Linked DNA regions of Arabidopsis thaliana. The protein of the gene in region 1 interacts with the protein of each later gene in a pairwise test. Each region holds a gene or a part of one and is shown in the gene's direction. Other genes may lie near its edges.

Region 1 (5,062 bases):
TTAATTCACGTGGTCAATTATTTACGTCGAAGATGTGATAGATATTTAGTAAGCCGGACTATAGGAACAGGAGTGTGGAAGCCACACGTGGAATAGCGGTGGAGAATAATTTGGATGGATGGCGGTTTAGGCCGAACCGGGGAAGGTTTTGTTTCTTAGACATCGTGAGAAGTCATACGTTATGTCCTTAAGATTTTAAAAGCTACAAGAGCCACTAGCTATTTTTCAATTCCAATATGATAAATTAATTCTTTGTAAGCTAAATTTTATTTTAATTTCTAAATAAATGTTAAATTTTGGATAATTAACCCTAAAGCCATAAACAATTCAGAAAAAAATAACAAAATTATAACAAGCCTATTCATTGAAATTCATATATGTACAAAAAAGCTATAAATGTTCATAGTATAAATGTTTTATGTACTATAATATGTATGGATATGCAAATTCATATAAACATAAAAAATAGCAGTGATTAATATGAGATATTTAGTTCATAATTTGAATGTTTATAGTATAAATTTTGTTAATTTTTTATATAATTAAAAATGACAATATATGAATTTTAATAACCAAACATAATGTTGTCACCTCGATGTATACTAAATTGCAGGAAGATGATACATATAAGTTGAAAACGATTGTGCGAATAATCTATAGAAAAGAAATATAAATTAGAAAAAAAAAGACAATGCTAACGTTTTGGTGTGGACAAGAAAGAAGACGTTGCGACTTGCGATGATGTTTGAACCTGCAGGTAGTTTGATTCATGTCTCTAGAATAACGCTAAAGAACACCTATGGCTCTGATAACATATTATTAATATTTACATTTATTTTATTTAAAGTAGTCCATTCATAATTGCACACGACTAAATGCTACACAACTTGTCTTAGTTGTTTAATCAAGATATTTTTACCTTATGATATTTTGTGAAAAATGATACCTATAAAATCCCTAATGAGCACATCAACCTTTTTTACCTTATTATATTTTGTGAAAAATGATATCTATAAAATCCCTAATGACCACATCAACCTTGAATCTTCTCTAATAAACCTTTTTTCCAAACACGCACTAAACCAAAAATTAACATCTCAAGAGGAAACCATTTAAAAAAAAAACAGAGTTAGATTAAGATCAACAAATATAGTTGAAAAGAACATATGTTAAGCAACATTACCATAAATTCATAATTAGTAGTGATTAAAACTTAAGAATACTAAAGTATGAATATGAAAATTGTTGTATTTTTTTGTAGTATGTAATATGCGGAAACTTGGATGTTATCCTATTCATTGAAATTCATATATGTATGTAGTTATCATTTTTTAAATATATTAAAAAATTAAAAAGTAATAATACTATAAACATTCAAATTATGAAATAAATATCTCATACTAATCACTGCTAATTTTTTTTCCAATGTTTCTCTTTAGTATTTCTCTTTAGTATGGGAGTGACAAACTTAATATGAAATCTATCTCCCTACATGCAAAAATCGAATCTCTTTTATTATTAATGAAGTGTATGGTCGGTGTCAATAACTAATATGTCATATTTTTTACAGACTGTTCAGATATGATAAAAATAGTTTTTTTCCAACCAAATGGTTGGTCTTCTGAGTGTATTTGAAAACGACATTGAAGAATTAATATATTTTTTTTTAATTTTAGTTTTTTATAGTACAAATATTAAAACAAACAATCCTACCATATCATAACATTTGTAAATAACATTTTAAGTTTTGTTTTGAGTTTTAATTAATTTTCTATGACAAAAAAATGAAGTCAATAGACTAAGTGAATCATATAGTATAAATAAACACAATTTAAATAGTTTCAAATAAATTTAGAAAGAATAAAACAAATAGAAATCAGAAGGTGTCTGTTTCCTCCTCGCAACATACGATCAAAGAGAAACAACTTGACCCTTTACATTGCTCAAGAGCTCATCTCTTCCCTCTACAAAAATGGCCGCACGTCTCCAACCTTCTCCCAACTCCTTCTTCCGCCATCATCATGACTTCTTTCTCTCTCACTTTCACATCTCCTCTCCTCCCTTCCTCCTCCACCAAACCCAAAAGATCCGTCCTTGTCGCCGCCGCTCAGACCACAGCTCCGGCCGAATCCACCGCCTCTGTTGACGCAGATCGTCTCGAGCCAAGAGTTGAGTTGAAAGATGGTTTTTTTATTCTCAAGGAGAAGTTTCGAAAAGGGATCAATCCTCAGGAGAAGGTTAAGATCGAGAGAGAGCCCATGAAGTTGTTTATGGAGAATGGTATTGAAGAGCTTGCTAAGAAATCTATGGAAGAGCTTGATAGTGAAAAGTCTTCTAAAGATGATATTGATGTTAGACTCAAGTGGCTTGGTCTCTTTCACCGTAGAAAGCATCAGTGTATGTTCCTCCTCTCTATCCTCTTCCATTGACTTGTGATTGAACTGTGTAAAGGTTTCGTCTTTAGTCTTATGTGTGCTTCTTTCAATGACTTGTGATTAAATTGGTGACCAGATTGTGTAAAGGTTTAGTCTTTACTCTTTATCTTTAGTACATTTTGATTTATGAGTGCTTGTTGTTGATTTTGTTGTTGTAGATGGGAAGTTTATGATGAGGTTGAAGTTACCAAATGGTGTGACTACAAGTGCACAGACTCGGTATTTAGCGAGTGTGATTAGGAAGTATGGTGAAGATGGGTGTGCTGATGTGACTACTAGACAGAATTGGCAGATCCGTGGTGTTGTGTTGCCTGATGTGCCTGAGATCTTGAAAGGTCTTGCTTCTGTTGGTTTAACGAGTCTTCAAAGTGGTATGGATAACGTGAGGAACCCGGTTGGGAATCCTATAGCTGGGATTGATCCGGAGGAGATTGTTGACACGAGGCCTTACACGAATCTCCTTTCGCAGTTTATCACCGCTAATTCACAAGGAAACCCCGATTTCACCAACTTGTGAGTTCTCTTTTTAGATTGATGTTGTGTGTTGGTGAGTGAATGGTTATGCTAAGATGGGTTTTTGTTTGTTTGTTGTAGGCCAAGAAAGTGGAATGTGTGTGTGGTGGGGACTCATGATCTCTATGAGCATCCACATATCAATGATTTGGCCTACATGCCTGCTAATAAAGATGGACGGTTTGGATTCAATTTGCTTGTGGGAGGATTCTTTAGTCCCAAAAGATGTGAAGAAGCGATTCCTCTTGATGCTTGGGTCCCTGCTGATGACGTTCTTCCACTCTGCAAAGCTGTTCTAGAGGCTTACAGAGATCTTGGAACTCGAGGAAACCGACAGAAGACAAGAATGATGTGGCTTATCGACGAACTTGTAAGTACATGCTTCTTGCAATCTTAAATTCGGTATTGAAGTTCTTGGTTGTTGATTTGTCTGCATGAAATGTATAGGGTGTTGAAGGATTTAGAACTGAGGTAGAGAAGAGAATGCCAAATGGGAAACTCGAGAGAGGATCTTCAGAGGATCTTGTGAACAAACAGTGGGAGAGGAGAGACTATTTCGGAGTCAACCCTCAGAAACAAGAAGGTCTTAGCTTCGTGGGGCTTCACGTTCCGGTTGGTAGGCTACAAGCTGATGACATGGATGAGCTTGCTCGGTTAGCTGATACCTACGGGTCAGGTGAGCTAAGACTCACAGTAGAGCAAAACATCATCATCCCAAATGTAGAAACCTCGAAAACCGAAGCTTTGCTTCAAGAGCCGTTTCTCAAGAACCGTTTCTCCCCTGAACCATCTATCCTAATGAAAGGCTTAGTTGCTTGTACCGGTAGCCAGTTCTGCGGACAAGCGATAATCGAGACTAAGCTAAGAGCTTTAAAAGTGACAGAAGAAGTAGAGAGACTTGTATCTGTGCCAAGACCGATAAGGATGCATTGGACAGGATGTCCCAACACTTGCGGACAAGTCCAAGTAGCAGATATCGGATTCATGGGATGCTTAACACGAGGCGAGGAAGGAAAGCCAGTCGAGGGTGCTGACGTGTACGTCGGGGGACGAATAGGAAGTGACTCGCATATCGGAGAGATCTATAAGAAAGGTGTTCGTGTCACGGAGTTGGTTCCATTGGTGGCTGAGATTCTGATCAAAGAATTTGGTGCTGTGCCTAGAGAAAGAGAAGAGAATGAAGATTGATTCAAAAGCTATTGGATTCTTAATAAGTCAAGAGACCTATGAATGGTTCTCTCTCTGGTTTCAGACTTTGATACTTGATACTTGTATTTGTATTGTGCCCATAATTTTGGGTTTTGTAGCTCTCTCCTTTGTTGTAACCTGTAACTTTGTCCTTGGTTGTTTTGTAATATCTTGTTTTTTAGTAATAGTAGTATAATCTGATTTTTTGTCATATATTGTCTTGATTTCTCTGTGATATTTATAAGAAATAAACATTTGTTTCTTTTTACCTCCAATATTTTTGTTTTTGATATATCAAAAGTTAAGGGAATAGATTTTAATTAATAAAATATATTGATAATATTCTTAAAAGATTATTAATAAATTAAATTGTTTTTTTTTTAACGTCAATTTCATTAATTTTTAAGAAAGAGTACATGGTAAATAAAGCCCAACAACACAATTATAAAGTCCAACTACAAACCCAATAGAAAGATTACAACTTGAGATTAAACTAGGTTTAGAAGGGACACGTGTTTAATTATCTGTTCTTGCGCATGTTGGATGAGAAAAGATGCCGATATGACTCATCACCGCCATCTTGAGTTGAACCGTCGATCGAAATTACCTAGTCCGTCGTTGAAATTTGAACCATCATAATTATTAAACTCTGGAACACGCGACATAGCAAGAGGGCAGATCAGTTGCAAAACACACTCTCCTGAACTGTTCTACGCCGGCCACCAAAGCTCCACTCAACACAATTCACGATCTTAAAGAGGCACCTTCATCGTTACCAGATTATGGTGCCAACATGGGAATGAAGGCTTTATTCTTTTCTTACTCAGAATTGAGCAACGAATGGTCTACAAGATTCTGAATTAGACACTCAGCTTCTAAGATTTAAGATATGCAAAAGGTGGATCAAAACTATACAAATTAAAAAA
Region 2 (6,426 bases), on another chromosome or scaffold:
GCCGCGACGGAGCAGATTATGTCCGTGACTTGGCTTCGTAAGCTGATGGATGTTTTCCTCTGTTGCGAAGCTGAATTCAAAGCGATTTTGTTAATGGGTCGTGACCCGACCCAGATTTCTAAGCCGCCTTTTGACCGGTTAGTTCCTGAAATGTTAGACCGGTCGATTAAAGCGCTTGACATTTGTACCGCCGTTGTTAACGGTATCGATTCCGTTAGACATTACCAGCGTTTAGCTGAGATTGCTGTGACGGCTTTGGAGCAACGTCCGTTAGGTGACGGTAACGTGAGGAGAGCTAAACGCGCGTTGGCGAATCTCGTCGTCGCGTTGAGTCTCGAGGATAAAGAGAATGTTAGCGGCGGAGGTGGTGGCGGCGGCGGAGGGAATAAGACGACGGAGAGATCGTGGTCGTTTGGTCGTCGAAGCGGTGGATCATCGGCGGCGAGTAAAGGAGGAGCAACGATTGGTCAGCTCAAATCGTCGTCGTGGGCGGTTGGGAGAAATTGGTCGGCGGCGAAGCAGATCCACGCAATGACAGCGAATCTTACGCCGCCACGTGGTAACGAAGCGGCGGGATTGCCTCAACCAATGTTTATAATGAGTACGGTGATGGTTTTCGTAATGTGGGTGCTAACGGCGGCGGTTCCGTGTCAGGAGAGATCAGGATTAGCGAATCATTTACCAGTGCCGCCGAAACATTTGAATTGGGCTCAGAGTTTGATCGGAATCCATGAGAAAATCGGAGATGAGTGGAAGAAGAAAGAGAAGAAAGGATCTGCTGGATTGATGGAGGAGATGACGAGGATGGAGAAGCTAGGTCACTCGTTGATGGAATTCGCAGATGGATTTCATTATCCGGCGGAGAAAGATGCTGCTGAATCTGCGGCGGTGCAAGTGGCGGAGATGGCGGAGATATGCAGGAGAATGGAGGAGGAGCTTGTGCCGTTACAGCAACAGATCAGAGAAGTTTTTCATAGGATCGTGAGGAGTCGTGCGGAGATTCTCGAGGTGTTGGAGCAAGCCGGGAAAGTTTCGGCGCCAGTTGTGTAAAAGTTTTGAATTATTGGGAATCAATTTCGAAGTTTTGTAATTCTTTGGGGGCTAATAGGATATTTTATTTTCTTGGTTTCGTCTATTGTTGTTTTTCTATTTATGGTTGGGCTTTTAGAACTCTGGACAGGCCCATGTCATATGTTTTCCCTTCTCCTTATATTTTTCATTTTTCATTTTGTTAAATTAATGCATAATATCCAAAAACAATTTAAATTTTTGAAGGAACCCTTTAGTTACGGCTCCGAAGCTTTCACAAGTGAGAATGTGAGATCAAAGAAGGCAAATGGAGGATTTTAAAAGTTAAAATCATCTTTTATCTGCAAAAGTTGACAATTTTTTTGTATCAAATCTAAATCATCAAACTCTCTTAAACTACAAGAGCATAACAACCTCTATGTAATCCATGAAATAATCTGCTTGAAGGACATAACATAAATCATTATGGCTAGAGTGACTAACTTCAATCAAATCCTCTTAACTCTAGCTCCCTTACAATGGTATCGTAAAACATTATGCATTAGGGATTGTTGTCCTAGGAAAATAAAATAAAAATCCCCACAGACCAACTACCATTTTAACTTAAAAATAAGCTTCGTCCGCGACGAATTGTTTTCCATCCTAAAAATAGAATGGTGTAATCTGCTAATGGTTTAGTTCCATTAACTTGCAAGTTCTATTGAAAGCCTAAATGTCAATAAAGATATTAAAATTCGGAGTCAAAAGACAAATGAATCAAAAGCAACAAGACAAGTCAGCTCCATTCTTCACTACCCATCTTTTACAATAAATCATCTCTCTTTTCACAAATTTCAAACTACTCTCATTGCCCTTTAGCTTTGTTATAGAGCCAACACTACAGAGAGACTCACACACTTGTTTCAATAATTAAATCTGAATTTGGCTCTTCTTATAAACTAATGTCTGCAGGTCTTCTTATCTCTCTCACTCACCACCATCTTCTTCCTCGATTGTCAAAACCCTAGATCGAAATCTTATCTCTCTAATCTGTTGTTACAGTTCGTAGAGTCATGGCGTTAGCATCAACCACGTTGCCGACGAAGTCCGGATTATCTCTTTGGTGTCCGTCTTCTCCGTCTCTCGCTCGCCGATTTCCCGCTCGTTTTTCTCCGATCGGTTCTAGAATCGCTTCCAGAAGCCTCGTCACTGCTTCGTTCGCTAACGAGAATCGCGAGTTCGTATATATAATTCTTCCAATTTTGATTCTGGCGTTGATGAATTTCTATGCGATTGATTGTGTGATTGTGTTAGGTTTGTGATTGTTGGTGGAGGAAATGCTGCTGGTTATGCTGCTAGAACTTTTGTGGAAAATGGAATGGCTGATGGTCGGCTATGCATTGTGACCAAAGAGGTGATTCAAATCGATCCCTTAGTGTTTTCTTCATCAGTAACACTATTGGTTTTACTTTGTTTGATTGTTGGATTTGTGGTTGTTATTGTTAGGCTTACGCACCTTATGAGAGACCGGCTTTGACAAAAGCTTACTTGTTCCCACCAGAGAAGAAGCCAGCTCGTTTACCAGTAAGCTTTGCCAACTTTAATGTTTTGATTCGATCAATTTGAGTGGTTCTTTTAGTGCTATTGCTCTTAATTGGCTACATGAACATTATGGAATGAGTACCGGTAGATTGTTTACAGTGTTACGATTGTTACTGATATGAAGATTTGTATGATTTAGTTTTGTGATCTCTGTTTATATTGAGGGTGGTCGTATATGCAGGGATTTCATACTTGCGTTGGAGGTGGTGGAGAAAGGCAAACACCAGATTGGTATAAGGAGAAAGGAATTGAGGTAATTCATCTTCTGATACATAGTTTTGTTTTCTAAAATATATGAATGTAAGTGAAGTGTCTTTGGTTTGATTAACTGTACAGCTTGGAATGTACGTCGGTGAATTTGTGGTCTTCTCTTGTGTCTTACTAATGCATTTTGTTTGGACAGGTAATATATGAAGATCCAGTGGCTGGAGCTGATTTTGAAAAGCAAACACTCACCACAGACGCAGGGAAGCAGTTAAAATATGGATCTCTAATTATCGCTACAGGGTGTACAGCCTCAAGGTGAGTGAAAGTCGCATTTTTTTTGCAATGATTGATAAACAACATCAGAGAACCTAGGCCTTTTCAACCATGTATACTGATATTATGAATATTTGCTCTGGATTTTTATTGTAGGTTCCCAGATAAAATCGGTGGGCACTTGCCAGGGGTTCACTATATTCGGGAGGTTGCAGATGCTGATTCACTGATAGCATCTCTGGTAAGCTAAGGGCATTTTTACCAGTTACCAGTTTTGTCATCTTAATGCAATGTTGTAATATGCGTCATCAGAAAAATCCAAATTTCCTGGCTACAAAATAACCTTCCAATATGTGATACAGGGAAAGGCAAAGAAAATTGTCATTGTTGGTGGTGGCTACATCGGCATGGAGGTTGCTGCTGCAGCTGTTGCGTGGAATCTAGATACAACGGTTATTATCCCTTTCACTTGAATTTTTAAATTGTGCTAGAAATGAAGAATACTTCTAATCATTCGATGAGTTAAACAAATTCCTAGAAACGTTCAGATAAATTGTGGAACAGATGTACTAACTTACAGTTGCTTTTGGGCTTTCCCATGTGGAACAATAGATTGTATTCCCTGAAGATCAGCTTTTGCAAAGATTGTTCACTCCATCGCTTGCTCAGAAATATGAAGAACTGTACCGTCAAAATGGTGTTAAGTTTGTCAAGGTAAGATATCAGCACACGATCAACACCTTATACTGAAGCCTTTGCTTTCCTGCAAACCTAAGAATTTCAGAAACACAGTGTGCAAACTTGAATTTCTCTTTCTGTTGAACAGGGCGCTTCCATAAATAACTTGGAAGCAGGTTCGGATGGGCGTGTATCAGCTGTTAAGCTTGCTGATGGGTCTACAATTGAGGCAGACACGGTATAGTTGTAGCTCAGCTTCACTTTTTTCTTTCTCAAATGATGCAAATTCAACAACTTTGATCAAATGAAAACTGTGAAGGGTCAATGTAATACTGACTTTTGTACGACCTGTGTATCCTTACTTTACAGGTTGTAATTGGAATTGGAGCTAAGCCTGCTATTGGCCCCTTTGAAACTTTGGCCATGAACAAATCAATTGGAGGAATTCAGGTATTATTATTACAAAACATCCGGATTTATTTTCCAAGATAATCGGTTTTCAGAGTTAGAACTTCACAAGAAACTACATCAGTATGTTGATACAATTAAAAGTTTGATAAGAGCTCATCTTCAACCACAGGTCGATGGCTTGTTCAGGACAAGTACCCCTGGAATTTTTGCTATTGGAGATGTCGCAGCCTTCCCTTTGAAGGTACTTTGCTGCTAGATAATATATGTTAAGCCATCAATTATCTCGTGAAGTGCAAACTCATCATCTTATTGTCTGATGACCAGATATATGATAGGATGACTCGAGTTGAACATGTTGATCACGCCCGCCGCTCTGCACAACACTGTGTGAAATCACTACTCACGGCACACACTGACACGTAAGCTTCTTCCCTGGAAAGATCTGTAGACTTTGCCTGTATCCCTTAACGGATATTCACCTATTAGTTCTTGTCTTGCTCAATATTTGCAGGTACGATTATCTTCCATATTTCTACTCAAGAGTATTCGAGTATGAAGGAAGCCCAAGAAAAGTGTGGTGGCAGTTTTTCGGAGATAATGGTAAATCTATTTGACCTAAATATGACGCCATCCAATTACTCAAACAATATTTCCACTGTAGCTAAACCACTGATTCATACTGGCCAGTGGGAGAAACAGTGGAGGTTGGGAACTTTGACCCGAAAATCGCTACCTTCTGGATTGAATCTGGTAAATAATTCCTTCAGCCTTTTCTCACTTCAGTTAACCTTGCACAAATACACAGCTTAGCAAATTAACTAACTTTGATGAGTAATTATCGTAACACAGGCAGGTTGAAAGGTGTTCTAGTAGAAAGCGGATCGCCTGAGGTAAGAGTCTTTCTTAGCATCTCCCTCGTTAACATTCTGAATTAGCCAATCTTTAGAGCATCATGCTTCTTTAGATCTGCGAGACTAAAATTAGAATATTTTGGAACGGTCATTGAAACTTGACAATAGCAATTACATCAGCATGGGTTTTGTTTTCATGTAAATATGTTAACTATATGGATTTTAATTGCTTCCATTGTTATGTATATCTCTTGAAACAGGAGTTCCAGCTTCTACCAAAGCTAGCAAGAAGCCAACCACTTGTCGATAAGGCTAAACTCGCAAGCGCATCTTCAGTCGAAGAAGCTCTCGAGATTGCTCAAGCCGCTCTACAGAGTTAGAGAAGGAAACTTCATGGAGTTTTTTTAATAGCTTTTGGGTTCAGAGAAATCAACATCTTTTATTCCCGGTGAGAGTTATTCATCTTTCCATTGGAAAAATGATCTATAGAGAGCACTGTTGTCAATAATCTCCTCGAATAATTTATAACCTCTTTTTGGGATAATCATATTTTGCTCATTAGAGAGCTTTGTTTCTAATAAAATCTATGTTAGTCACTGAGATAGATAAAGATCGTTTTCTCATGATCTATGGGTTGTTTCGTGGATCATTAAAATATTTATTTATTTAGATTTCTTTTATCGACTGTAAACCATAAACGAAATTTGTATAAACAATAATGAAGACTTTGTTATAATTCACGCAAGGATTTGTTTTGCGGCACGTAATAGAGTCTTGTGGGATTGATTGCGACATGTAAAAAGGTTTTTGTAGCCTAAACGCGTTTCATACGCCATAGAAATTTATTTACTGCCTATGAGTTCTACAATTGAGAAAGTGTCAAAGTGGTTATGAATCTATGATAGGTTGGGCTTTTATGATTGGTTATGAATGTTGCAAAATCGTATAAATTTGCGGAATGGTGGGAATAACAAACTAAAAAAATCGTGATTCTGCAGAACCTTGTGGTTGGTAAATATCTATGATAGCCAAGGTTCATCATTGATAGGGGAAATCATTCGGCCAAGATGTCAAAACTGTTATAAACTCTTCTCTAACTCGATCTATATTTTAATATGACATCATTCTTGGATTAACACAAGAGACCATTGTTTTGCAAAAACAACACCCTCGGTTTTTAATGGGTGAAATATTGCAAAATGCAAACAAACGTGTAATGTTGGTAAAACTAAAAAAAACAATTGATGCCAAATCCAATAACAGAAAAAGGCATTGAATGACTCTTTCACTAATAACAAATTTGAAATTGGTATATGACTAATAAAAAAAAAGTTAGAAACAATTAGTAATTATCGACCGTCAGTGCATCATCAGCATTTCACCACTTTGACTAAGA

The links.
Region 2: the proteins of NIR1 (region 1) and MDAR6 interact in a two-hybrid assay, tested with the Arabidopsis thaliana proteins (one large-scale study listed by BioGRID).

What each region holds. Positions count from the first base shown.
Region 1 is NC_003071.7:6,808,531-6,813,592, forward strand, and holds NIR1 (nitrite reductase 1), read left to right. Parts: upstream 1-1,864; 5' UTR 1,865-2,021; coding exon 2,022-2,397; intron 2,398-2,593; coding exon 2,594-2,948; intron 2,949-3,029; coding exon 3,030-3,318; intron 3,319-3,395; coding exon 3,396-4,136; 3' UTR 4,137-4,411; downstream 4,412-5,062. UniProt on the Arabidopsis thaliana protein: Catalyzes the six-electron reduction of nitrite to ammonium.
Region 2 is NC_003070.9:23,728,125-23,734,550, forward strand, and holds MDAR6 (monodehydroascorbate reductase 6), read left to right. Parts: upstream 1-1,750; 5' UTR 1,751-1,970; coding exon 1,971-1,980; exon of another isoform or gene 1,981-2,070; coding exon 2,071-2,245; intron 2,246-2,322; coding exon 2,323-2,422; intron 2,423-2,514; coding exon 2,515-2,592; intron 2,593-2,791; coding exon 2,792-2,863; intron 2,864-3,013; coding exon 3,014-3,132; intron 3,133-3,246; coding exon 3,247-3,331; intron 3,332-3,452; coding exon 3,453-3,542; intron 3,543-3,702; coding exon 3,703-3,804; intron 3,805-3,916; coding exon 3,917-4,006; intron 4,007-4,137; coding exon 4,138-4,218; intron 4,219-4,348; coding exon 4,349-4,420; intron 4,421-4,503; coding exon 4,504-4,598; intron 4,599-4,690; coding exon 4,691-4,779; coding exon of another isoform or gene 4,780-4,793; exon of another isoform or gene 4,794-4,866; coding exon 4,867-4,929; intron 4,930-5,028; coding exon 5,029-5,069; intron 5,070-5,290; coding exon 5,291-5,410; 3' UTR 5,411-5,850; downstream 5,851-6,426. Other genes in the region: ROH1 (uncharacterized protein), read left to right, coding at 1-1,050. UniProt on the Arabidopsis thaliana protein: Catalyzes the conversion of monodehydroascorbate (MDA) to ascorbate, oxidizing NADH in the process.